4 linked regions of the Styela clava genome follow. The main gene of each other region encodes a partner of the protein of the gene in region 3 in a complex. Links are inferred from orthologs where the notes say so. Each region holds a gene or a part of one and is shown on either strand. Other genes may lie near its edges.

Evidence for each region.
Region 1: dynein regulatory complex protein 8-like (region 3) and F-box and leucine-rich repeat protein 13-like share a complex: the UniProt entries of both Homo sapiens proteins name them as parts of the nexin-dynein regulatory complex. The link is inferred for Styela clava from reciprocal best matches to the Homo sapiens genes DRC8 and FBXL13.
Region 2: dynein regulatory complex protein 8-like (region 3) and dynein regulatory complex protein 12-like share a complex: the UniProt entries of both Homo sapiens proteins name them as parts of the nexin-dynein regulatory complex. The link is inferred for Styela clava from reciprocal best matches to the Homo sapiens genes DRC8 and DRC12.
Region 4: dynein regulatory complex protein 8-like (region 3) and dynein regulatory complex protein 9-like share a complex: the UniProt entries of both Homo sapiens proteins name them as parts of the nexin-dynein regulatory complex. The link is inferred for Styela clava from reciprocal best matches to the Homo sapiens genes DRC8 and DRC9.

The regions. Positions count from the first base shown.
Region 1 is NC_135258.1:12,568,064-12,575,062, forward strand, and holds the start of F-box and leucine-rich repeat protein 13-like, read right to left. Parts: upstream 3,003-6,999; 5' UTR 2,757-3,002; coding exon 2,682-2,756; intron 2,277-2,681; coding exon 2,173-2,276; intron 2,051-2,172; coding exon 1,957-2,050; intron 1,881-1,956; coding exon 1,738-1,880; intron 1,536-1,737; coding exon 1,456-1,535; intron 1,250-1,455; coding exon 1,063-1,249; intron 984-1,062; coding exon 822-983; intron 455-821; coding exon 292-454; intron 211-291; coding exon 53-210; intron 1-52. Other genes in the region: uncharacterized protein LOC120338966, read left to right, coding at 4,289-4,867; 18S rRNA aminocarboxypropyltransferase-like, read left to right, coding at 6,117-6,893. UniProt on the Homo sapiens protein: Substrate-recognition component of the SCF (SKP1-CUL1-F-box protein)-type E3 ubiquitin ligase complex.
Region 2 is NC_135258.1:9,395,674-9,401,707, reverse strand, and holds dynein regulatory complex protein 12-like, read left to right. Parts: upstream 1-4,551; 5' UTR 4,552-4,611; coding exon 4,612-5,211; 3' UTR 5,212-5,513; downstream 5,514-6,034. Other genes in the region: translation initiation factor eIF2B subunit alpha-like, read right to left, coding at 1,083-1,994; A-kinase anchor protein 14-like, read left to right, coding at 5,575-5,694. UniProt on the Homo sapiens protein: Component of the nexin-dynein regulatory complex (N-DRC), a key regulator of ciliary/flagellar motility which maintains the alignment and integrity of the distal axoneme and regulates microtubule sliding in motile axonemes.
Region 3 is NC_135253.1:7,972,893-7,980,448, reverse strand, and holds the start of dynein regulatory complex protein 8-like, read right to left. Parts: upstream 3,026-7,556; 5' UTR 2,868-3,025; coding exon 2,837-2,867; intron 1,914-2,836; coding exon 1,782-1,913; intron 1,075-1,781; coding exon 969-1,074; intron 495-968; coding exon 269-494; 3' UTR 1-268. Other genes in the region: integrator complex subunit 7-like, read right to left, coding at 4,213-4,364, 5,040-5,130, 5,970-6,236, 6,546-6,644, 7,306-7,392. UniProt on the Homo sapiens protein: Component of the nexin-dynein regulatory complex (N-DRC), a key regulator of ciliary/flagellar motility which maintains the alignment and integrity of the distal axoneme and regulates microtubule sliding in motile axonemes.
Region 4 is NC_135256.1:11,518,916-11,526,614, reverse strand, and holds the start of dynein regulatory complex protein 9-like, read right to left. Parts: upstream 3,015-7,699; 5' UTR 2,886-3,014; coding exon 2,763-2,885; intron 2,445-2,762; coding exon 2,325-2,444; intron 1,249-2,324; coding exon 1,142-1,248; intron 641-1,141; coding exon 512-640; intron 100-511; coding exon 1-99. Other genes in the region: uncharacterized protein LOC120327970, read left to right, coding at 4,501-4,567, 5,633-5,698. UniProt on the Homo sapiens protein: Component of the nexin-dynein regulatory complex (N-DRC), a key regulator of ciliary/flagellar motility which maintains the alignment and integrity of the distal axoneme and regulates microtubule sliding in motile axonemes.

The sequences.
Region 1 (6,999 bases), on a different chromosome or scaffold from region 3:
TAAATAACACCCTGCATGAGGTAAAAGGCTCATGATATATAGACAGCAATACCTATCTGTAAACTTGTTACAATATGCCAGACTCAAGTATTGCATGTTCAGACAACATCTTGCCAATGTACGCAATGTGCCATCGGTTATTTCAGTGTACGAGAGATTGAGATACAGAAGCACTGGACATCCTTCAGCAATTGCTCTTATAATTTCATCCTGTAGAAAAAATCATTATTCACACAAATGTAGGTTAAAATTAAGGGCTCACACACTACTAAATAATATACAATGCATTACATTGACTCCTTTGCATTCTGAAATGTTTATATCCTGAAGATTTCTGCATTCAGCAATTGCTTTGAAGGCAGGCCAATGCACAGCAAAACATTGTCGAAGATTAAGATGTACAAGGTATGGACGACTCTTCTGTAAGCACTGAATAATGGCTCTATCATTCACTCTGAAATCAAATATAAATAATGTTAAAAATGTTATCAATATACCTAGATTATACTTCCATATTGAAAAATGTCCCTCACCATATTTAAAAAAAAAGATGTTTTAGGTTAGTACATTTTTGAAGGCAGCCAGCGTTAATTTCAAATTCAAAAATAGAGACCAATGAATGTCTCGCAACTGTGTCTTAAGACACCAACAATGTCCTGTAAAAGTATCCGCTTTTTATTTATTTATCAGGCAGACGAAGTTACACATTTTGAAACAAATATACATACCTGCATACTAAAACCTTAAAGTAATCACCTGAAGACAGCACCAATAGTCACCTAACTTGATGCTTGAGTGTAAATAAAAAGTATCTCACTTACTTATTTTTAATTCTACTGAAGTTAAGATGACTCCATAATGAAGGTGCTCCAGTGATAACTTTCCATGCTCTACAAACTTTTGCACATCTACTAAGTTCAATCAAGTTCAGGTTACTGAATATTTGTATAGCACATCTTCGTGGAAGCAAAGACACTTCATCTCTAGTAGAAAAATTAATCTTTAAAATGTTGGCGTTGGCTTGAGTGTTTTTCTTTTTAAGTTAACACATTCAAACATTACCTAAATGTATCACTAGGCAGATCCTTGTCTCCAGTTTCGACACCGAATTCTTCATCCAATTCTCCACGTTCTAGACGTTCAAAATATTCTCTAGTCTTACGTGCGTCTACAGCAACCGATCTCCAAGCTCGAAAAACAAGCCGACAAACTGATTCATTCCAAACTTTTGAAATCATATCAAAACCACCTAAAAAATTTTTTAAAATAATATAGAACTACAAAATAGTAAAGCTCCAATATATGGTTACCGCGAGAAAAAAGCCAGTATCTAGATAAAATCCTCAAAGTAAAAGTCATTGCTTTTAATTATGAATCCTATGGATAGATTTGCCGAAATTTTTCCCAGTAATTGGGCTATTTTATTTCAGTTGGATAAAAATAGATATATTTTACTATTTTGTCTCTTTTTCACGTAACATTTCCAAGTATGCCATTTAGAAAATGATATTCTCATCATTCTTGTCCTGTGGTATCTGAAATAAAGTTCTAAAATCTTGATATTGAAAAAAAAACAGTTTAAAGTAAACCAAATACTAATATAAAAAATAATATCTGTTGTTTATTTTTCATGTATAAATGGCAAGTTTAGGCTTCAAATTACACATGACTGTCCTTAAAATAATTTAAATACAGCATTTGGCTCGATAATTCAAGTATGTCCAAAGTTGTACATACTGTCTGGCTTCTTTGACTTTATTTCGAATCATATTTCGATGATTTTTCTTGTCCAAGTAGTATTTAAGCCATCCTTTGAAACATATCTTTTGTAATCTGCCATAATAATGGCTATAGGCTGCTTTCAGCATATCTGGTGATGGCTAAAATTATGAATTGCACTGTTAGTTGACGTTTCACTTTGAATAAAAGAAGAAGAAATATTTTAAAAAAATTTACGGTTAACTTGTCATAAAACTTGAAAATCTCATCCAAGTAACTTTCTGCCATTTGTTTTATCTTTGGCTGACATTCAAATGGAACGAACATATCCCTGAAATGAAGAGCAAAAGTTAGTGGTCAAAAACGCAATGTTAAATGAAGATTTAACATCATATGCAAACTTATTTTGATGCAGGTCCTACCATTACATACAAATTATAATCCTTCACCTACCATGTCATTGTATCCAGACCTTGATCGCGTATTTTTTTAATGCTTTCAACAACCCATTTGTAAGGATCCTCTGGACATGCTATCATCAAACCAGTAAGGATACACTGCGAAAAATGAAAGGTTTGTAATAAAATTACAATCATTAAATATCTAAACTAGTATTACAGCATTGAAGGATAGGATAGGATTTACATATTCATCCAGGGGGTGAAAAAAACCGATAAGACGACTCAATCATATGGCGAACCACGACCTACGGAGATGCCGTGGTGAGCGTATTCCTAACGCTTAGCACGATGAGCCACACCGCCGAGCACAATAGGAATGCTATTGACTGGGTGATTAGCGCAGATTCTGAGTGTTTGGAACTAGGGTACTTTTCATTATTTATTTACTTTATATTAGCAAAACTGGGCTGTATTTTTAGCAGTATTTTTATCTTTGTTGCAACCTGAGAAAAAATATGAAAAAAAATCCTAAATCTGAAAATTGTGTAGTATTGTTATCACCTCATATACTTCGGGAAGTTGGTGTACTTTAAGATATTCTTTTAGTGCGGGATCGATCCCTTGAAGTGACGCCATTGCCTTTATTTCGCACCAAGAGAAACTTAGTAGATATAGACTAGCAAAATCATTTACAGAAAAAGAAATCAGAACGTCTCGCGGGAATTTTGCTGCTTCACCGTCTCCTTAGAAACATATCAGGTCAGCGTCGCGGGTCACTGATTCTTTCGCGTGACTAAATATGGTCCCAAATATTTTGTTTTTCTCCAAACAATCCCGCTGTATATTTATATTTAATCCTCTAAAACTTAACTCACTCTCTGCTATGACACGTTGCTGTAATGATTGCTAAAAGAATAAAATAACCATTCATAGTCGTTTGCGGCGCAGTGTATTCATTGCTTATTTATAGCCACAGAGAATGATGGCCCTGTATATTATAGCGATTACCCCGTGCAAGATTTTCATTTTACATGTGGTTAGTACAAAGAGTTAGTACAAACTATTTTGGACATAATCATAGTTCGTCTGTTTGATTTTTACTCGTTGAAGATGAAATTGAAATAAAATCTAACCATCAACTGTCGTCCGATGGCAGTTTGGATAGGATTTTCATATTTATGGGAATAGTTGAACAATTCAGAGTTCCAGATGCGTGGAAAATCGTAATAAATGTTCATTTTTATATCCCGTTTCTGTACATGTTTAACTGTAATTTATGACATATTTTACACTTTTATTTGTGCATCATTCACTAATTTCTTTATCTTATTTATATTTTATGTACCGGTAATCCATTCGCATTTACCCTGGTACTATATTATGCCATGATGTGCTTATATATAGCATAAACACAAGGGTCGGGAGCCTAGATGAACCCAACCGGTCCTGCACACCGACTCGCACAAAACAATAATCAATCACTGTTATTACTGCTGAAATATTTTCTTTAATATATTATGTTTATATTAGTGTTGATTTTGTTTTTGCGGCAATGATTCTCTCTCTTTATTTCTATTTTATTCGAAAAGTACATTTTTACTTCTATCCAAGTGCATTTTCACTCTTTAAACAACATAACAGGACAGAAATTTGTTTTATTTTTGTTAAGTAGGTTTCGGCACAAGTGCACAAACCAATCATTCCTGCATAAACATTGGCAAATTTGACGCGAGACAAGGAACGCATGACTCAGCCTAAAAGGTTAAGGATAAAAATGTGATCGACTCCGATCACCGCTGCACTAAGAGGAAGTACCCGTCTTGACCGTTTTCTTCCCAGCAGATCAGCTGGTAACTTTTGTGTCAAGCGAGCTGTGCTAAATGGGGCAATTACGCCATGAATAACTCGTTCATAAGGCTTCACTTTAATCTGATTTCGAAGCACCAATTTAATGGCACATGATACAGTAATAGCACGAAGTTATTCAAACGTTAGTATTAATCATAAATCTGAAAGAATTTTATTGCAACAGTAAATTACAATAATATTTTGAGTATGACATATTTTTTTCTTTTTGTTCAAGTAGTTCCTAAATGAGCATAGCGTTGTCAGGTTCTGTTCAATTAAATTTTGATATTTGGTACCGGTAGTGGTTGAAACATTTTACTATGTCTGGTCGTAAAATTCAAAGTGATGCAACTGCAGTGCCAAAAATGTATACTGGGGGAAAATCAACTAAACAATATGTTGAGGACACAGTAAGAGAAGCTATGGCTGAAGTTAATAGGGCAACAGGACATCTTGGAACTGTTAATCCTGGAAAAGTTTCATATAACACTTCAGGAGGTGGAAGTGCCATCAACCAATTCAATATTGTGGGAGGTACTATTGGTCAAGCGGCAATTGGTAACAGAGGTGACACTGTTTTCAACGAAGAGAAAAAAGTTTTCCAAAAAGGTGCCTCAAACACTAAATACAACATTAGTGGAGGAAATTTCAATCAAGCAAACATTGGTGGAACTTCTCACTACAATAACAAAGAGTGCGAAATTGGATCTGGTGGTGGTGGTAAAGGAGTTTCATTGTCAGCTGAAGATTTGACCCTAAGCATTTTGGACAAAGGAGTTACAGCTGAGCAGTTTGTCTTGCTCCTTGAAAGGAAATATTCCTTGGCGAATATTGCTTTTGCGATGCCCAGTGATCCAGAACTCAAAAATCGTATGGTTGATGCTCTTCTTGTGAAGTGATTACCAAATCAGACTTTCTCTTGTAAATAGTTATCATAGTTTTTTTTTCAAACATAAATCAAGCAATCGAATGTGCTTTATCATCAACAATGTGTTTTTATTTTAAATGAAACTTCATGTTCATTTTAATTTAAATGTTTCAAATATAATTTTACTTTGTTTATGCATGTTTAGTGATACTGAACATCAATCTTTACCACATAAATAGGGTCATACTTCATGAGAGGATGATTTTGGATGTCATGAGAAAGATTATCTCTATAAATATGTATAGTTTGCCAGCTGTCTTAACTCTATCAGTAATGATTGATTCTCTTTGGTCAGGGATATGCAAGGCCCGGTACACTTGGGTGTGCGGCAATTACGACTATGGTTTTCATGGATATAAATTTCCATTGAAAATAATGTCATAATGACCCCGATTGCCACATTGTGCTTCTTATTATTATATAAATGTTAGCCTAGCTGTTGAACTAGCTTTTGTAAATAAACTGTTTTTTATTCATAGCTTTTCATATTAAGTTTTTGAGCCTCTGGCCCACTCAGAAAAGTAATTGCCCACCCCTGTCTTTAATGTTATCTAAAGAATGGCATCCAGTAAATGTCTAAGCTTGATTGTATGTAATGCACAGCTGAAGTCAATTGAGTACTATATTTTATTGTATCATGTACAGAAAATTATTATGCAATGAATTTCTTGCATTAAATAAAGAACGAGTTGTAACAGAATGGAGAATTTGTTTTATATGAACTTTCATGAGTTTTTATTATTGCTCTCATCTTTTATAATTGATCAATAATCTTGTATTTTTATGCATAGAATGATGTATTCAAAAGTATATGTTCCTGTCCTAAAAAAAAATCTCATCTCATCTATAATTGCTAAATTAAAATAATAAACTATTTCTAATATACAATATTTTCTACATTTATAATAGAGTGGAAAATTTGCATGGAATTGTTACAGCACATAACTTTATAAAGATATTTTTAACTGCTGCGCCTGTGGGCAATTTTACTATTGATTATGATATGTTGTAAAAAAGAATTATTATGGATTATTTTAAAATTCTAGAAATAACCATATCAAACTAAGTAACTAACTAATACTGAATGTGTTTGAATATTCAATTTGTTATGGAATGAACATTTACTGTGGAATATGTAACTTGGTTGTCTATATACAATTTTTATTCATCTTTTTGTATTATAATTAGATTTAGAATACATAACACTATATACAATAGCAATGTCTCACAAAAAACAGCATCAACGGAGGAAAAACTTCAAAAACAAAAATAAATATGAAACGCCGCAACTTGCAATGGATGAAGAGGATTTACATGAACCAAGAGGCACGACGAGCAATTTTACAATAGCATGCCCCCTTGCAATGTGGGACCTGGGACACTGTGACCCGAAAAAATGTACAGGAAGAAAGCTTGCTCGTAAAGGAGCAGTTAGATTACTGAAATTACAACAAAGATTCGCTGGAGTAATATTAAGCCCGATGGCTACTGAATATATCAGTGCCGGAGATAAAGACAAAGTATTAGCTCATGGCATAGCTGTAATTGATTGTTCATGGGCAAGGTTGCAAGACACTCCATTTTCAAAAATGAAAGGAGGTCACTTGAGACTTTTACCATACTTGGTTGCAACGAATCCAATAAATTATGGCAAGCCCTGTAGGTTGTCATGTGTGGAGGCATATGCAGCTACACTTTATATTGTTGGGCTTGAAGATAGTGCTAAATCTGTTTTGAAACCTTTTAAATGGGGTCCCAACTTTTTTACATTGAATGAGGAACTTTTGGAGTTATATCAGAGTTGTGAAAGTTCAAAAAGTATCGAGACAGCTGAACAAAATTGGCTACAAAATGAAAGAGATGAACTTAATGCTAAAAGTGAAGAACGGGATCCTTTTGATATAGATTTAAGTGTTGAACACTGTAATCCCAACCATACATCCCTGCCACCAGATGAAGATTCTGATTCTTCCTGTAATTCATCTGAAGAAGTTTGATGTCTGAATAGATTCTATAGTAGCAGATTGTTAGGATAGCAAATTTAGAATAAAAGTTCAAAATAATCATACTTTTTTTGATATAAAATGTTGTTTTGTCAATTTC
Region 2 (6,034 bases), on a different chromosome or scaffold from region 3:
AACAGATGACCTGAATTGCAGGTGTAACTTTTTTATATGTTCTGCCTTGCTTGTTGGAATGCTGATGTACATTCATCCTAAACCCCCCCGAAGTTCTCAAATTGAGATTGTTTCTCCCTTTTTAAATGCACAAATATAGATTCGATTCATTGCAGATTTAATATAAAACAAAAGCAAATGATAGAGTTTTTTAAATGCGAGACACTTGTTCATATTTGTTTGTGGAGATGAATTTTTTACTCTCTGTAAATACAGATACTGAGATTTTATTTGTGTTCAGTAACATTGTATAGTTCAAAATACAGCCGGCAAGAGCAATGAATTTTGAGGTATGGGCATGGCATCTGATTATAAATTACATTATGGGTAAACCAAATTTTTCCACACTGCAACCCAGTACGTGAATTGATGTGTAGAAAAAAAGTCGATATGACTTGATAGAACTCACATCTTCACCAAATATAATTCTACCCGACATATCAACGGATATGTCCCATAGGCACGCAGAGCTAAAGAATTTTCCATTTCTGAATAAAAAAAACATCTGTATTCTGACGATGTGGCAATAATCATTAACTTTACTTGGGGGTCCCGCATTCTGGAACAAATATTTTTCTTCCCATTATTAATTCTTTTCTCTGGATTATTAATTCATTCGCGACTGGAATAGCTGAAAGCTGGAATTTCAGTGGTCTCCTTCAATTTTGCTCAGATGAATGACTCAACTCTGAGCAAATTCTCCTAAACCAAAGCAAGACATTCGAAAGTACTCTTATAGTCCTCTGAAATTCATTTTATAAAGTAATAATTTTGCTGTGATATAACAGATCATACAACAAAAACTTCAATCAAAACCGCGCCAATTAAAAATAAAATTAGAATCCGAATAATTATCACCAATATTGATATGCCACATTGCACCTTTGATGTGTTATTAAAATGACCTGAACATGGCCATATAGCATTCCATGCAGACTTGCAAGATCTTGACAAAAATTTTTATGACTCTCGGAATACTGGCCACCATTCTGTATTGGTGGTATCTCCCAGATGCGAATATTCAACCTCCAACCATTACAACTTTATAAGTATAGTTTGATAAGTTCATCACTTACAGCAGAAGGTGTCAGGACACCCAAATCAGTTATTAGTAAAGTGATATAAGATGGAGGAGTGTAGTCTACATTAGGATGTTCTTGGTCAAGATTCTTGGACTTGATTGTTGATGCTTTGTATTTTATTTCATTCGGTACATCTTGCTGATTTAATGGATAAAGGCGAACGAATTTAATGCTCTCGGCAGCAACATACAAGGGTTTATTATGTGCCTTTGCACAAACAGCAATTTGGTAACTTCCTATCTTGTTCATAATCCCACCGTTTTCTACCACACCTTCAGCACCAATCAATACAAGGTCTATTTTTTCCATAACATAACCAGCAGCTGAGTCAAGAATTACAGTCACTGGGATGCCATGTTCTCTTAATTTTTCCGCCATTATATTACCACTCATGTCTGGTCGTGATTCAGTGACAAAAACAGTGAAACGCTTTTGAGCTTCCATAGCTTTGATTAACATGTTCAAAACTACTCTTGAATATGAATGAACAAGAACTTTGATACCATCATTCAAAAATGGCAACCCAAGTCTGGCAATTTTTTGTCTGCTGGATGATATTTTTTGCAGGAACATTTCACCACGGCTTATTAGAATATCCTTCACTTTATCGAAGTCTGAGTGTTCTAAAGAAGATAGGGTGATAAAGCGAAGAAACAGTTCCGATCCAGACAAGATAGGTGTAATTCCTGTGCAGTCAGTCCTCACAAGCACTTCTATTGCACTTTTTAGATTATCTCGTAATCCTGATAATGTTTCAGCATGATCCTTTCTCAGATATTCTATTAGAGTTTTGATTGCAGCAACTGCGGGAGATGATTGAGTACTGTTTCGTAATTCCGACAAAAAATATTCACTTATCTCTTCATCATTCATGATCTCTTTCTGTGAATACCCTTGCTATATACAAAACAATACCTGCAAAGATAAAAAGAGATATGGTTCAAATAATATTTGTTGAAAAAAGAGGAAATTATTATTATTCAGTCCAGGAGTACAAATCACTAATGTATTTTACGCCAAAAGGCCTTGTATGCCACTGCTAAGTCTGTAAGTGAAAATCACTGGGAAGAAATAATTACAGAATTACGATTCAATTGTTTCAGATATGGAATATTATTAACACTTAACAAGTGAGCATTCTGTTTGGTGACAGGGTCCAGTTTTGTTTGATTGTGGATATCTGAAAAATCATTGCGAAATATTTTGAGAAATGTTTATACAGATGACATTTACAGCTTTTATTCAGTTATAAAATAATATTATGATTAGATATAAGAACATGGTGCGGTACCGGTACTGGATAAAAGCCAAATACAAATTATAGGGTCTAATAAATCCAGAAATCTGTAAATCCTTCTTATAATCCAACTGCCTGACTGTGGTACCGGTAATACAGTAATATCTGAATATGCTGATTGCTGACTACAACAGAACTAGGCTACTAGCGGTACCTACTAATTAAGCAAGCTTAATGAGACTACCTCTATAGAATTTCAAGTTACCAAAATCAAATTTTGTCGCAGGTCATTTCCATCGGATACCGGTATGCATTCGGAGTGGGAGTGGTGACTCCTCTGCGGCCCATGGGCCGGGGCCCATCAAGTTGTGTAAAGAAACTATTCACTTGGCTAACACAGACAGTCCCCGAACTCATAATAGAACTATAATGTAAAAAATCTGAATTTTTTTTGTCCTAACCCTAACCTGGTACACATACTACAGGAGTATGTTTTTTTGGTTAGAATATTGACAATTTGGTAAAAATTGAAAATTTTGTTAAGATAATTGAATTTTTCCTGATGGGGCCGCGGCCCATCAAGCTATGGGCCACGGCCCATGTGGCCCCGGCCCATGGGCCGTAGAGGAGTCACCACTCCTGTAGTGCATTCGGCACAGCATGATTGGGAACATGACGCAATGGTTGTGTCCCTTTACATACTGGTACCGGTACTCAAGACAGATTTTCAGACATGGTTGTAACTTGTAAATATTGGAGTCGCTATCTGTTTGTATGTTTTAGATGTGTTTCCGAAATTTTGGTACCGGTACCTTATAAATCAAAATACCATTGGTCGTTTTGTCTTCTGGAGCGTTCCAGTTTAGTAGTAGTGATGAAAAATAGTTATGAAACAAGTAAACTCGTTTGGAAAGTGCCAGGCGTATGTTAGTCGTTGGTGCCAGCAATGACAATAAATGTCATTGAAGCCAGGTCACGAAAACTGTCAAAGGGGTCAAGGGCCGGATTATTATTCTTGAAAATATCAAGTGTATCAGAACTCCATGACAACGCGACACGCTTCGTTCGGCTGAGAGTTTTATTTTGTGTTCTGCCGCTCGTACAAGGCTACCGGTATGTAGTAAGCGAACTAGTAACTATTTTAAGCTATGACTTGTTTCTATATGTATAAGAAATAATAATAACAACTGGAATGGAATTTTATATGTGTACGGTATTAATGCGTGACAGAGAGAAATGAACAGCTGTATTAAGGTATATTAGGAGGAGGAGGAGGATTTACATATTTATCCCGGAGGAGAGGAAAGCCGACAAAAAGAACTGACTGCTGCCAATACAAAAAAAAATGGAAAGCCTATGTTGACTCATCATGAAACCATATTTGGATTGAAAATGACTGAAATATTGCAAATGAATAATATTTTTGTAATGTGAAATACTTTGGTTACAATTAATCTCATATTGTTAGATAGTTAAGATAGATAGATAAGTTGTTAACGCTTTATAGGTACACAAAAGTGTGATTAGACCATCAAATATTTTTAGCAATAACTAATCTCACAGCCTGATTTTTTGTCATGATTTTACCATATATCATATACATCAGGGGTCGAGAACCTTTTTGGTCAAGAGAGCCATAAAAGGTACATATTTTCAATTGCATTTCCGTGCGAGCCATACAGCATTTCAGGCCTGAAATTTTACTCAAAAGTCAACAAATACAATGTCAATATACATTTAATGTGACTTCTGATGCTTCAACGGCTGCTCACATGCAGCCAAGTTGAAATCTACGATACACATCACCATCACCCTTCTTTCGTTTAGGCATCTCTGTACTAGTTTGATTTAAATATGACAAATACTGTAATTAGTACGTACAAACGGACGAAAAGCTTTTCTCTATAGCTCCGAAACTATAACACTTTGTGGCGTCACAAAATAGATTCCAGAATCCCCTAGTTTTGTCACAATGCTTGTCTGGTAATTCTCTCAAATAACATAGACATGCGCTGGGCGCACGTTTTCAAACGTCTTGGCAAATTTGGCTATAAATAGGTTTGAAAACTCGTTAACAATTGTAAGCTTAGCCTTACAATATTAGATTTTTCTGGGAGCCATATTTATGCCGCCATCAAAAGAGCCATATATGGCTCGCGAGCCATGGGTTCCCGACCCCTGATATACATTATGCTTTATTTTACTTCTTATTTATTCAAGCACTATCAAATTCTATTATAGTAAATAAATAAAATGCCACCAAAAAAGAAAAAGGGCAAGGGAAAGAAAGGAAAGAAGGGCAAAAAGAAGGATGTAGCAAAAGAAGAAGACAAATTTAAAAAGACTGTTAGAGAAATTGAAATTCTGAAAGAACATCTCGCTCATCGAAATGAAATTGCTCGGAGATCACAAGCCCAAGCATCAGATTGGAAGAATCGTCTTCATGAAATGGAGGAAAATCTTGAGGAGCAGAAATTGGAACAAAAAGATGTCAGTGCAGAGTTGACTCGACAATATAAAACGATGCACACGGATATGGACATTAGAATGCGAGAACTAAACACAGAAGTAGAACATCTAAGACAACAAGTAGCGAATGCAAGACAAGAGCTTGAAACAACGAAACGAGAAAAAGAAGAAATGGAACAGGAAAAAAACGAAACAATCAGAATATTGGAAAAAAGAATCGATGAAATGGAAATATCATACGAAGGAGTCCTTACGGCTTCGCTTGATTCACTTATTGGAAAAATTGATGAAGCTAAGGATAAATGGGATCAAGAAGGAATTAAAATACAGGAACAAACTAAAATTACTCTTCTAGAGTTCGGTCTGAACCCTCTGGATATTTGATAATAAATTCAGATAATTTGTTCTGTTGAAAGAATTGCTTACAAGGTCATACGGGAGAACATTTTAAATCCGCTTGCCTTCAATGATAGACAATAAAACTTATATGAATTCTAAAATCTGATCATTGGATTAGACTACCTGCTCATATTTGTTGATGATTATATTCAATAGCTTACTGGAGAACTAGGTATATTTTAATGTAATCCTGTAGTTTTCATAAATCATTTTCATCACTGTGTTGTGAATTGTGCGACTTTCATTTGTGTCTCACTATTTTTACCTTGTTATCATTAATTTCATAGTACCATATTGATAGGTTTAAAGGTTTTAGGGATACTACTGTATAGTTGTTGTGACTAAAAAATGCCTGTAAGATGGAGTGATGAAGATCCTGCTGAATTTGATGAGGAAGCATTCAAAATAGTCGACGACGTAATAGCAAAAGCTGTTCATGATGTTTCAGTTGAAATTAGACATAATTTGGTATGTATATTTTATATGATATGTCAAATCTGGCTTGGATAGGCCTTGAAGCTTCATATACCAACGGCGTTCCGGTTGTTGGACAGTTCATTGCGTTCCTGTTGTTAAAATAAAATTATGGTTCGAAAAGTCTGGTTTCCTCGGGAAACTTAGTTATTAATTGATGTTTTGTTGCATCATAATTATTTTTACATTTCAGCTGGCAAATAATTAGTGCACAGCAGTAATGTATAATGAATGTTTTGCCGACCTTTGACCCTTGTGAACATTTGTATTGAATTAGTATGAATATTCTTTCAATTTTAAAAAGTCATATTTCAGATAATTTCATTGTAGTTCT
Region 3 (7,556 bases):
TTTCGGGGCGTAAAATTTCTTTTTGCCTATTGTTTAGAAATTGACCGTTTATGTTGAACTTCAAGATGTCTGAGGAAGTCATGTGGTTAATTTAAAATTTATACATTCCATCAAGTTATGAACATTCAGCAATAAGTACCTTTTTATGAAGGCCAACAAGAGTAAACAGCTTCAATTTTATTAAATCATTTTTTTAATAACAAATGACTTGGAGGTTTAATACTTTGGTTTACAATATGGAGTAGTTTTAGCTTACGCTATAATTTAATCAAGTTTCCTCAATAGCCATTAAAGAAACATAGTCTTTGTATAAAACAACGCCACGATCAGGATCAACGGCAGCAGAGAGAAATTCGTCCATTTCTTCTTGTGTAAAAGGTTCTCCTTCTTCAGTCATATACTTTGTGATTTCTTCCTGAGACAAGCATCCTTTCTTATCCTGATCAAGAACTTCAAATGCCCTGAGCAACTGATCTTCAGGTGAAGGTTTATATCTGGAGGTGGAAATAGAATACTTTGCGATATTTGTTTTATACTTGCGTCGCTAGGGAAATTACTTTACCTTAAGCATGATTGATAATACATGCAAATGCTGTATTGTGATTTCTATGATCTAAAAGAACTTTTTGTCAAATATCATCCAAAACAATGACGCAACTGTTGAACTTCATTACAAGACTCGATGCAAGGAATAACGCGGAGTTGGACAATAAACATTAAAGTTGAATTAAAACTCTTTTTACACCCATCTCTCATGTTCAACATAGTTCTGTTGCTGAATATAACAATATCTAATTAACATATATAATAGCTGAAAAAAACAGATAAATTTAATGATGCAATTATATGTCAAAAAACAAAAAATACAATCAATATATAATGGCAACATTTAAGATTATTGCATATCCATTCTATGTGGGGTCACCAGAAACAAAGTAGCGAATATCTTTTTAACGACGACAACATACCTCCGTTCCATCAAAACATGTGTCATCATAGGTAAAAATTTCTCAAAGCGTATGTAACCTGTTGGTTCCTCTTCTTCTATCTCAGCCAACATATCATGCAACTCTCCTATATCAACATAGTTTCAATTAATATAAATTTGTGATATTCAATGTAAAATTAAGATCCTGACATCACAGTCAATTTAACTTTGCATTGAATGTTAGAAATTAAGGTTCAGTTTTTTTTAAGATCAGTGATATCAGTTGTCGGCTCATACATACCACTTCACACACAATGTGAGAGTAAATTTCTTTCATCACAGTAGCTAATATATTAAAGTGACAGCTTGCATGAAGTCATACAAACAATTATGTATAAAGTAAAGCAAGCTCTATAAATTAGCATTAGCATACTGAATTGAAAATAGAACACTGATGACTATTCAAAATGTAATAATCATACTGCTTGAATTGATCCCTAAAGTATATCACAGTTATGTTGAACAATGTGAGCCGAGCAGTTTGTACATCCATTATGACAAATCGTCGGTTTATTAAATCACAACAATGTCTAAAACTATGCAATTCAAGAGTCTTGCTGCACACTAACACAAATGTATTTCTGTAACGTTAGATTGAGACAGTTAGTCACGCGCAACCTCTACTGATAGTTGAATGTCTGAAACATTTGCAAAAATAAATCATACCACTGCGACACATATGCCAATAGTTACCTAACATTTTATTACAGAATTGTAGACAGGCTATTAGCTTAAATAACGGAAACTGGAAAAAATTATACAAGATACAAACATAAGTAAACTACACTAGTACCTTCTGATGGGCAACATCCTAGTGATCTCACAATTGTTCCGATTTCTCTAACATCAACTGTTTTGTTTGCTTCGTGGTCAAAGATTTCAAAAGCATCTGTAATTTTCTTCTCAATTTCTGCCAGCATAGACTCTGAAATATAAATTAAGTCAGTAATCTAAACATATATTTCAATAATTTTCACTAAATATACATGTTTGTAATAGTTTGGCAAAGGATTCAACTTCCAAATGCAATAGCGAAAAATATGCAGTAAATTATAAGATACATTAACTTAAAATATATACATTCACTACAGCAAATTAAGGAAATAAAGTTTTCTATAATGTGTGTGATGCTTCGAAAAATTTGAATGCTCCTTGTTTCAAACACTTATGTGGTAAAATTGTCAAAATCTAATACACTTTTCATCTAGAATAGAATTTACATATTTATCCTGAGAAGAGTAAAGCCGATTGGACGGCTTGATCGATCATATGCTGTACTGCGGCCTCTCATCTGGTTTGTAGTTAGCCAGTTATTTATTTTATCATATTATGGACTTCTAATGGCAGAGCAAGCTGTAATTGACCAAAAGTTATTTATGTGAACCACCCTACGGTGACAAGGATTCCAGCAATCTTCTTTCACATAATTATCCCCCAAAGTATTCGAAGCTGCAAACCCACGCATGGCAGCATGATGATCGGAGGTGTGGTGGCGAGCGTATTCACAACGCTTAGCAAATTTTGCCACACCACCAAGCATGCATGCAGACATGCCATACAGTGTTGAGTTTCCATATGGTATTAATCCAGAGGATTGCTGATGTAGACCACTGGTACCGTACCTGCTTCATCTCATAGACTACCGGTACCGTAATTAAGCATGCCTACTAGATCCTGTAGATCTGTAGATCAATATGCAAAAGCCACAAAATCTAGTTTTACGGTATATAGGTACTAGGACAGTCAGACCGTGAAAATTTACCAGCAATAGTGTAAGATTAAATCAAGTTCGATTACTGGATTACATAATTTGTTGCGATCAAAGCTTTTCAGTGAAACTTGTTTTACCTGCCGATTCTTTTTCCCCGGAATCAGTCATTGCGCTAGAATTTTCGATGCTACAAATCAGATAATATACTCAGTAGCCAGTCGTATAAACCAATATTACAGAAAAATCTGGAGTAACAACATAAAGGGCTCATTCCATAAGCGCCATCTTATTCGTAATATTTTGTTGATGCCAGGGTCAGCGTTTCATGACGGTCGCCATAACAATCATCGGCTAGTAGTGGTAGTAACAGGCGTCTGTTGGGACTAATCCGGATAATTTTTGATACGATATTAAAACTTCAAATATGTTTGCATAAATGTTCATGGCTCATGATACGTTTCTTCGCAACATTTAAAATAATTTTGTTATGATCTATTGCCGCCTGAAACAAACAATATTCAATGTTAAATAAGCGAGACCATGTATTGCAGTCGGATATCATGCTCCCCATATCTCGACATACGACTAAAAGTTACTTCAATATTTTAAATATATACACAAGATCGGTAGACACAAAATCTATCCATTTACTAAATTGTAGTTGTTTAAGAGGTTGTAAAACACGAAGTGGAACTACATTGTCCTGCGCATTAGGAATACCATTTTCATTGCATCTACGATTATTTTGTAAAAGTTCGCAGGAAATCTGTGGAAACATAATCATTGGTATACTAATATTAGGCCTTCTTTCGCCATGTGGAGCAATCAACTGGTAGACTGTCATTATTCGATTAAGCAAATAAATAATTCATCTTATCACCCACCTCTCCCCTGTTAAAGCTATGAAAATCCTTTATTAAACAGTAAAACCACAAAACTGATGATCGAAACAAAGACTTTAAAAACGAACATCTTAAAACGAGATATTGGAATCATAGGAACCCATTCTAGGGCATAGGATATATAGATTTCACACAGAATAAGAAAGCCGATAAGACAGCTTAATCATATGGGAAATCGCAGCCTCTTGTTCAGTTACCAGTCCATGTTGGGTACGGGGTTAATTAGCCAATTATTTGTTTCAGATGCATGAACTTGATAGTGGAGGAAGCCGTAACCGACCAGCAGTTACATGAACCACCCTACGGAAACGAGGAGTCCAGCAATCCTCTCGCACATAATTATACCTCACAGGATCCGAACCCACACAGTGTAATCAGAGCACTATATGAAAATATCATAGACTTGTTACAGTACAGACATTAAAGACTGTAGTGCAAAGTATTTGATTTCTGGTGCTGTAGCCTACAAAAATAGGTTTGACTTCATCTCTTCAATTCATTCAGACATACAAAACAAATTGTTGTATTAGTTTATTGCAGTAGATATCGTAAGATGTCGCAACACAATAGTTTAGCAAAGACAGGCTAGTTTTTCCAACAATAGATGAAGACTATTTATGAGATCCCTGACTCTGTTGAATCAGATTTTTAACTCTTATAGAATCATCCAAACTTCGTACTGTCAATGACTCAGTTGGTCCACACTTCCAACACATTCCATGTTCGTCTATCAAACTCGATTCAACAATGATATTATGATTGCCTTGATTAGAAAACAAGTGAAATACAATTATGCATTTATGACAGTTTTGCAAATTTTTATATTGTACATATGAAAGTATTGACATAAGTACATTAAGAAAAGGCTGTCAAAGTGTCAAATATAATTCTCTGCTGCTGTGAGGACAATAGCTGGCACAGATTTCCCATGCAACTATTTGCTGATATACAAAATCATATAGCTTATATGAAATGATTCGAAATTTCAGGAACAGGTTCTCTTATTTCACTCATTTTAGAAAACCATGCCGAACTTATAGCTATAATAACAAGAAAACAGGATTGTCGATTATCTTTACATTCCAATAACAGGCTCACACAAACCTGTGCAAACCCCCTTAATCCCACTGCTCATATCACTACTGACATAGCCCAGATTAGTTGTCTGCTAAAACAGTACAAGTCAGGCAGGCCATTACAACATAAATCAACACTCTTACCCTCAATAAAAAAATTTAAAAAAATTGTCATAATATGATTGGAATATTCTGGTCTATCGTAATATTTTCAATTCGACAAGGTGTCCAATAAAATTTTTGACTAATTTTTTATTTTGAGGGTTGATTAACTGTAAAACAAATTGAAGGGTCTGTGAATATTTTTCAACTATAAACTGAGAATTTAAGTCAGCACAAAGTAGATGAAGATGGTTTCTCACCCAAAGCAGGAAAAGAGAGTAAAAATTGTGTGCTGAAATAATCATTGTGTGGTTTCACTGTTTCTTCAAGAAAATTTCCGGAATCAGAGAGCTGTAAAAATGTTATTCTTTGTTAAATTTGTTTAGAAATGATTGAAGATCACTTTACGAAAATTATTTTGAAACAAGAACTTTTTTATTCTAAGAAAACGAATGTAAAATAGAATTGTACATATACAAGTTAAAGAAGTACCGATGTAAGTCGGTATCAGTCATTTTTTTTGGTATGGACTAAAAATAAACTGTTATTTCTGATATGTTCAGTCCTTTGATCTGATCTGGAATGTTATGAAGTATAAGTTAGTATACATGTATTGATGACTAAAATAATTTTTTTGCCTTGGAGGAATCATGTAGGCGACATTTACTGCCTCTTATAACGCTTCACTGGGGTTGGTTAATCGACTGAATGACTTTAGATGGTTACTGGTTATGATTTATTTTGACCACTAGCTGACATCTCAGGTATAAGCAGTAGTGGTATTCAGCCGGTTCGCACCGATTCTATAGATCCGTCTCACAGAATTTTATGAGATCAGCGAACCGGTTAGCATTACTGAAAAAAACATGATTTTTTGTAACAGAACCGGCTGAATTTGTGTGATGGAACCGGGTGACAAAGAATTTGAATCCCACCACTGGGTACAAGTATTACCTTTGTTATGTAAAATTACTTCAAAAATAATTAGACATCGCAAATTTCCCATGACTTTTGATTAAAAAAGTATCACTCACTGTATTGGTGAGTACCAATAGTGCAGAAGTAATTTAACTAAAAACAGTGAACCAATTCATTGTTAATGAAAAAAAAATATACATGATTTAGTCCAAGTTCAGTCCAAGCAAATTGGTTAAGACATCATGACCACTCAAAAAGTTGACAAAACTCACCTTGACATTCATAGATGCTTGCCTTCCTTGTTGAGCTTGATTAGTTCTTAGTGATAATTTGATTTCAGAAACATGCCGAAATGCACAACGTTTTTCTTTTCCATTATTACCAAAACCACTCTTGCTTGTTGCTTTGTCTGCTTCTCCCAATGTAGTACCACCAGGTCCACCATGTCTTATCACACCTTCAATTTTGAGAGCTAACCTCTCACACACATCAACAGTAACCGGATCATTAGGCGATCGCTGACTTGGTGATATAGCAAGCTTAGAAAAATTTTAAAAAACATGTCAGTATTCATCAAATTTAAAAAAAAATGGTTATATACAAAACAATACATCGCACATTAACTTACACAAGTAGAAATCGCAAAACATCTATTTTTGAAAAAAAATTTTTTTTTTTTTTAAAAATGCAAGATATGAGCATAGAACATAATATGAAAACTAATTAATTACAGGTTCATTATTTTTCATATTAACTACCAATATTATCTTTTGTATGTAGTGACATGTAAATCAAATTGTTTACTCGACATAGAACAAGTCGAGAACGATTTAAAATATTTCTCATACCTTTATTGTAGTTGTTTGTAAGCTCTGATAGAAGTATCTCGGATAGGAAATTGGAATTGAAAGCAAAAGAGATGCACATTGAAGAATGCAGTCTGCGTGCTGTGAAAAAAAAAAGTTTTGGCAAATATGTTACCATTCATCAATACATATTCAAGCCAGGCCCAATATATGAAATTAGCATTGAATATCATATGTCCATACATATTGAGCCATGAAAGGTAGACTCCATAAGCAAAAAGGAAGTGCATAATTAAAGTTCACATAAACAGTAAAGATTGACACTTTTCTAAGGAACTAATTTTATGCTGGAAACCATAAACAAATTCAATTACCTATGACGTATTAATCTGATATTTATAACAATTAACAAGTTAACTCCTTGTATTGAAAATGTTTTTCTTTCTCTTCAATATTGGTATATAGCAATAACATTTTTCTACACAAATATTCTCGTCAATGTTCATAGTTTTATTCGGATATCATTTGCCACGACCCGAACATGACTTGTTTCGAGATAGTGTTTGACAAGTAAATAAGTTGGCCTTCAAAACTACAATTGCAAAAAAAATAAACGGCAAACAGACAAAACTGTATTTATCAGATTGAGTCAAATTTTTGACTGCGTTCGTAGAGATAAAATATATAAATCCAGAATCACAATGCAAATTCAAAATATATTATAGATAGAAAGTAAATACAAAGTCATCAATAAATGATGTGACAGACCAAATGAAAGGTTAAAACTATAATATCCACTCACTATATTGCTGAATGAAGATGAAGATGCAGAACTACGAAATACTTTATCCAATTTTGACATGATTGTATCGAATGTCTCCAGTAAAACCTGAAAAAAATGAATGAGAATTCGTTCAAGAGTTTTGCTAGTCTAAAAAGCATTTCAAGCTAAAAAATTGCTATGTATGATACATAAAAAATTTTTTTTTACATTTCAAAAGAGCGACCCACTAATGCCCCCTGGGTTTGCCCTGGTGACCGCAATCCCGAAAA
Region 4 (7,699 bases), on a different chromosome or scaffold from region 3:
ATCATTTCATTTCGTTGCTGAATTTCTAATTCCTTTTCTTTCTTGATATCCCCAAGCTGACGCTGTAATTGTTTGATTTTTCTTCTGCCTTGTTCCTCTCTTAAAAAAATAAATCACAAAAAAAGTTTGAATTGAAAGTTAAGAATATTCCAATCATGCATTTCAGAGCATGTTAGTATTGAATAAGTCAAAAAATCAAGAAAATTAGTATTCTTTAAAAAAATGTGAATATTTTTTGGTCAAACATTTTACATTAGAAATAAATATATTTATACTGACATTTACTTCAAGGTGATAGATTTGAACAGCAATATGATTACAATAGCTGAAAAGCACATATTAAAGTATCCTTTTGATGGTGAAGAATGAAATTATTTGATGAGCTGCATAAACTTTGAAATAAGTGAATATATTCCATATATACATATCATATTAGAAATTGGCCATAAATTGAAATTGTTACATTAATATTGATGACGATTATTAGTCTCGCCCTTAATCAATAACATACTTTATAATTTTTTGTTGAAGAGCAGCTTTTCTCTCTTTTTCAGCAATTACAGCATCCAGAAGTGGTTGGTAATCAAAAGATTGCAGTAAACTTTGATGTGTCAATGTCAAAACATCTTCACAAAATTGCCTGAGAGAAAAACAAACTAAAATCAAAATGTTCAATAAAAATGAAAATACACAGATAGTCATTTAAATTTTGGAAACGAAACCTAATAACTTCACATAGCTCTACGTGCTAAGTGTTAGGAATATGCATGTCATTGCACCTCTGATTACCTTTCATTAGCTCGCAGGTTCGAATCCCACGAGGGACAATTATGTCTAGGAAAATTGCTGGACTCCTGGCCACCATAGAATGGTTGATTCACGTGACTGCTGGTCGGTTACGGCTTTCTCCACTACTAAAGCCATGCTTTTGAAAACAATTACCTGGCTAACTTATTCTGAAACAGTTCGCCATCTTATCGACTTTTCTATATAAATACTATTATTTGCTATATTTGTATTAAGCAAATCTCCAAAGACAAGTAGATACAATTTTGCACATCCAATTTTATACATCCATGGGTTATATAGTGAGTAATTAGGACCATGGCTACAAGTTAAGCATAAATATTATTAGTTTCACCTGTCCTTTTGTATTTTCACAAGATTGTCACTCGTCAGTGGGCTCTGTTTTAGTGACTGACTCACAAATCGATTGCTGGATGTCAGTGAACCTGTTAAGTTTTTTATCTGCAAAAATATTCAAAGGGGGATTAAATAAAAAAATAATAAATCGAACGCTTCATAAAATACCAAATTCAAAATGATCCCTTGCACGCTAAACCAGTGGTTCTCAAACAGTGGGGCGCACCTCACAAGGGAGACGTAGACAATTTTTTGAGTGGCGTGAAACTGATTAAAAATAAAAACATTTGTTATATTTGATCTTGCTCGCCTTCTTTTGGATATTTACATTTCTTCATTGTTTAGATATTGTGGAGAGCTAGAGTTCTTGTATCTTAATTATCCTCAGTGTTTTCGTTATTTACATTCCATCCACGTATTTTCATACTTTTACCTTACTATCTGTCATTTGTAGCTTATTGTTAGCTAGTTATTTTTGAGGTGGGGCGTCAGACTTGACAAATTCTAAAAAGAGGGTGTGGCTTAAAAAAGTTTGAGAACCTCTGCTTTAAACAAAGTCATAAAATTGTCACGTACATGCATGAGGCAATTTATGTATAGTGAAATTTTTATTTTTATTATACCCATTGAACCGTACATGAGATAGGCGTGATCAAATATCAGTTTCATTTTTCTATTTGTACCATTTCAGGTTAAAAGATAGTTGCTCATATATATTCTAACATACTTGATACGTGTGATGAGATCTAAGTTCTATTTTTCTATTCGTACCATTTCAGGTTAAAAGATAGTTGCTCATATATATTCTAACACAGTGTTTTTCAACCGGGGTGCCGCGGCACACCGGTGTGCCGTACAATACTGTCAGGGGTACCGTGGGAAATTCTCCAAATTGTGTGTCTATGCGGTGTAGCGCCCGACAGAGTAATCATGTAGTACTGTTCTATATCAGGTGTCAGCGCAGGTGGCAATTTGACTTTTTGTCATTGTTTTTATTTGATTACTATTCAAGATGTCCAATCCAACATCTTTCTTCAATGTTAAAAAAGCTTATATGAACAATATTACACTTATATTGTGAATATTAGGTCCTTATTTCACATTTTCAGCTGGTGGGATTTTCTCAATGAAAAAAGTGTGCCTTGGCTCGAAAAAAGTTGAAAAACACTGTTCTAACATACTTGATTTGATCCAACAAATGAGTTTCCACCGCCATCATTTCGTGACGATAAAATTGTGTCAAACTTTGATTCAATTTCACGTTGACTGTTGAGAACATTTTTCACATCTTTACTAACAATCTGCAAAAAATACATTCAGTAAATGACTTCTTATGAGCAGTTAACAGTATGGATATTCACAATTATTTTGAAATGAGCAAAACCTGAACTATATATGCCACATTTCCTAAAAAAGTAAGGACAATTTGTTTCACAAGCAAGATATATAGGCCACAATTTTGAATTGTTCGTACAATATCTATCTCCCAGAAGGAACAAAAAAGAAAGCATGTTTTTGATGAAAATGTGCCTGCAAAAAGTCAAAAAAACATGGAGTAACGGTACCAGCAATGGTATATTTGTACAGCACTACAAAACACAATAAACTCAGTAACTCACTTCCTTTGCGTCACTTTGGCCCTGATAAGAAACAGGTAGAATTCTTCCAAGAATAGAAAGTTGATCAATACAGTCTTCCATGACTGATGCATGATTAGCAGCGGTTGCGTGAGTGAACGCCATTAGTTCTGTAGTTCCTTGTAACAACTTCCAGATTGTCAATTTGTTGTTCTGTGTTACTTCACCGTATATTAATGGTTTTGAAATGTAAATTATTACATTATCAAATTTTGTTAGATTTCATTTTTTTTTTGAACTGTGCAATAAAAGTAAATACATACTTTAAAATATAGACTACTCAAGAGTTGGTATGACCAAATCATATAATCATAACACACAGGGCAATCCTGTCAATACAGCAATAGCCATATTTTCACAATATACGTACCAGATAACATGCATGAGAGATTTGACCACAAAACCTGATTTTAGTACTGGAATATGAATAAAATGGCACCGTGGTGAATATCGAACACCTATGGCATGTATAATCGCCTGGCTAAATCTATTTAAGTACGTAACTTATATCTAAATAATGATTAAAAGGAAAACAACATCAATCTCCTCGACCAAGCGTGTAATTTCGTCATGGTTACAGATAAAGGCAAATGGAAGTGCGCGGAGTCGAGATAATTTAAACCAATCCAAACCGATCGAAAACAGCTTGTCCCTTCAAATTCACGTAGTCAGTATTTTTTGCGAATCAAACTTAAATACTTACTAATTAATTTAGAAAAAATGTAAAATGAAAAAAACAGCATGGGAATGTGTGCAATATATAAGGTAAAGCAAAAATTTCGGGTCGAAATAAACTTATACAAAAAAAAACAGCCTCTTAGACTCCAAACTGAATTGCGCAAAATTATGTTATGATCGTCGTGATAGTTTTGTGACAACCGTAACCGCCGCAAAATACTTATAATTCGACGCGTAACACACAGATATTATGATAAGAACATGATCCACATGCTTACGGTATATTAGTTGATCCTCTGAAATCGAAATCTGTTCCGTCATCAGAGTATTTTTTATACAGCCTGGTTGAACTCTTTATCGAAATTTGAAACAAATTGGCCATGTCTTCGAGAACTATATCGTATTTTTATATGTGCCAAACTACGCGTAAAATATTGTTTCCCGTCACTTTCATTTTTGTCCATTTATCTTTTTATAGAAAAGGTTATGTGAATTAAATATAATACAACCGGACACAACATAAAGAAAAATAGCGAGTAAGATTGTTGCCTGTTGGCTGGAAATATTGTAAATAAATGATGGCTCAATATAGATGAAAATAGTTGTTTGTATGCAGGATTAAAGTTTAATGCTGGTAAAGTTATTGACATGTGAAGGACATCTTAAAGTTCGTCTGATGGATTTCATAACCAATGAAAACTTTACTTACCGACATGAACAAGATTTTTTAAGATCTTGATATTTATTAGTTCTTCAGCTCACACGCACATGAAATTAAAAATTATCCATAATTTTTGTCGCAATTTTCTCGTATACAGTGGCATTGTTAAACGACCACACCAATTTCTCATATATATTTTACAATATATTGTCGAAAAGGTATTGGAGAAAAAGTCGCTCATAGCCCCATTTGCCTTTTATCCACGCGTTCTCTGTGGAATATTTACGGTTAATTGTGCAGGTTAACACAAATTTGTGATAGCATTGGCGCAGTGAGATTTTAAATTTGTGCTCTCAAATAATTTGCTGCTTCTGGAAAACAATGTTTTATGCTGCTATATTCTACGTAGCATTGCTATCATTTATTTGTGAAGTAGACAGTGAATGGGGTGAGCACTTTTTATTCATTATATATTCATTTTTTATTCATAGCCAGCTCATTTTGCACGCTTTGCTCGTGACCACAATTCCCAATTTAAAAATTGTTATTCGTTCAGAAAGTGTTATTTTTAAATGTATCACCATCCACTAAAACCATATTAATGATGATTACAGTCAAGAACAATCATGATTAGCCGTAAAGACCGTTTTACAAAAATAATATCGTGTCCCTATTCTTTTACCGAAAAAGTACTTCTCTTGTTGAAAGCAATGTTATTCAAACGCAAAAGATTCGTTCAAGTTACATGGGTGCTTTGAAATTAGTTTTGCCTGTGAAACTTGTTTAAAGATATATATATGGTAGCACTGAAATAGCCTTTTACATTGTTTTTAGCTCTGTCTTTTGAAGATTTTTTCGACAGAGGAGGTAACCTACCAGGTTGGTGTATACTGTATAGGATACAATTACGTACCTGGTTTACAAACAACTTATAACATTCGTCAGACCAAATTTACTTCAAAATATTTGAACAAAAGTCCACGAACTCAAAATAATTTGTCCGTACTACGAATATATACCGCAGTACCTATTGCGCATTTGGCGCTCCAGAAGTATGTGCACCAAGATGGCGCACAACTTGAACCCTAACCTGGTACACATACTATGTTCAGGATGTGCGCCATCTTGGTGCACATACTTCTGGAGGTCCGCGCATTTTATAATTCTTCCTTCCCTGCCCAGAGTTGATAGATTCAAATATATGACTGAGTGAAAAACTGAGTGAGATTTCAGTGGTCGTATAATTCCAAAATGTATTCGTATTTAAGGCGAATTTTTTTCGCAGCTACAAGAAGTTTCCTTTAATTTCCCCGACTGCATCAACAGCAAGAGTGGTGTTGTTACGCAAACAGCCTATTTGAAGAATCCTGCTCAAAGAAATCACATTTGATTAAATATTAGGTAGATTAGGAATGGTAGGCGTATTTTATCGTAACAACCCATCTTAAACGCCAACTTATTATGTCCAAGTGGACTTTGGAAGAACATTGAAAATTTCGATTTGTATTTTTAGACTCGCATTTCCTGGATTGGTTTCAAGGCCCCCTCGACCGAATATTGGATGGCAGAGACATTGAAGGTTAGTTTAGACCAAGGGTGGCTGGCCAACCTTTTTTCGCCCGCGATCGACTAAAATCTTCAAAAAAGCTCGCGATCGACTGACTGATCGGTAATAAGGTCATAAACAAAAATGTACGAATACTGAATACGCAGATAACCTCACACACGCATACAAAAATTCCACCGATGCCAATAAGCTCGGCTCTGCGGGTGCATTCTCAATGAAATTGCCACAAAAATTTGCATTTTTTATACTACTATTCAATATGTTAATTTGATTATATAATTGTAAAAACTTTTTCATCCCTAGTTTTAATTAAAACGAAGCAAAGAAATGACTGTACGCCAATGCAGAGCTACGTTTGTAGAAACTTATTTGATGCCTCGTTTGCATCTTATATTGGAAACGAAACAGCAGCAAAATTCACACTAAAGTTAATTGTGTTTGTACATAATTTGGCATGTAGCTACATGTTTTTTTTTATGTGAGATGTTTTCTGTGTGCCGTTTTTACGCATAACAGATGCCCAGCACTGCATTTCATTATGCAAATATAGTATGGCATCATTTTACGTTCCACCCATTTCAATTTTTGGCCAGCACTGCATTTGATAGTTTTTCTTCATTTAAATTGTTTTCTGTGCGCCTTTTTACCTAGAAGCGTAGTGATTTCCCGCCATTGGGTTAAATGATTTTTAGTTTTTCCCATGGAGGTATGAGCCCCCGGTCCAGTAACTAAATCCAATTTTGGTAACTGTCTATTACTCAATAATGAAGCATTGCCTGATTCATTATTGAGTAATTACCATAAACACTATTTAAACTTTATTCCAACTTTTAGAATCCATTTTATCAACAAAAAAAAAGACAACACCACACAACTCACTGTTGTGCTGTCTTAGTCACGGGTATTTCCGGGTGATTGACATCAACTCACTGTTTTAGGCGTCGCGATGACAAAGCTGTTAAAGCGTCCGACCTAATATATATTATACTGAGCTTGTTCGGGTCTTTCACTCTAAAAAAAGCCTTTCACATGCGTCCACTGATATTTGAGGAATTACTATTATTTGATAAATCTTTCCGGTTCGGCATTGTCGACCCAATTTATTACACCCTGAGTAAGGTGGGGCAGAGGCGTGTCAAACTTTTCTGCTGCCCGGGACAAATTTCTGATGAGGATGCCCATTATATCAAACTTCAATTTGTGAGATAAACAAATTATAGATGTTGTTGCACATGAGAATAAATAAATTGAACATGGCAAAGGTAATCTGCAATGTTAACACATTTTAGTCTATTCAAGGCTATAGCGCCTCGTATCATCGGTTGCTTGTAAATTGCCTTTTTCGGAGCGAAGGATGTGAATGACCGCCGTATAAAAATGGATAATCTGACTGAAAGTCAATCGGTTCAATGAATTGATTGAAAACTGCTGTTAGTTTTATCCCGATTCCCACTTGTTACGACTCGAAATGATTATAGGCAGGCCATAACGTCTTTATTTCCAAGATTTGTTTTTATTTTGAAGAGATTTGTCTTACAAAATATTTTTGTCCTTATTTCTATGAAACGTCTACTACTGAGCTACCATAGGCTGGTGCCACTGCTACCGTTGTAAATCTATCACACTACTCTTGGAGTGAGACAATAACTTTCACACAGTGCAGAAAATGTTGTAGGATCGTTTGCCTGTCAAAACACGCGATATTCTGCATGTTCATTTCTAAAACATGGCAGTAGGGAAACTTGCATTTGTTACGTAATAATATACTCTATTGCTCTTGTCCATACTCAATTACTGCATGTGTACTTCGTATTTTGCGCTTGTACAGTACTATATTCTTCCTGTTTTGAAACACACAACAGTCGCAGTATAAAACTGGTTCAACGCAATTTTCTGGGCTATGTTATTGAATTTACTCAACATCAGACGCGATCGACTACTCGCGACCGGTCAATCGCAATCGATGTGTTGGCCACCTGGTGTAGATCAAAGTTCGTAGTTTGTGCGTAAAGA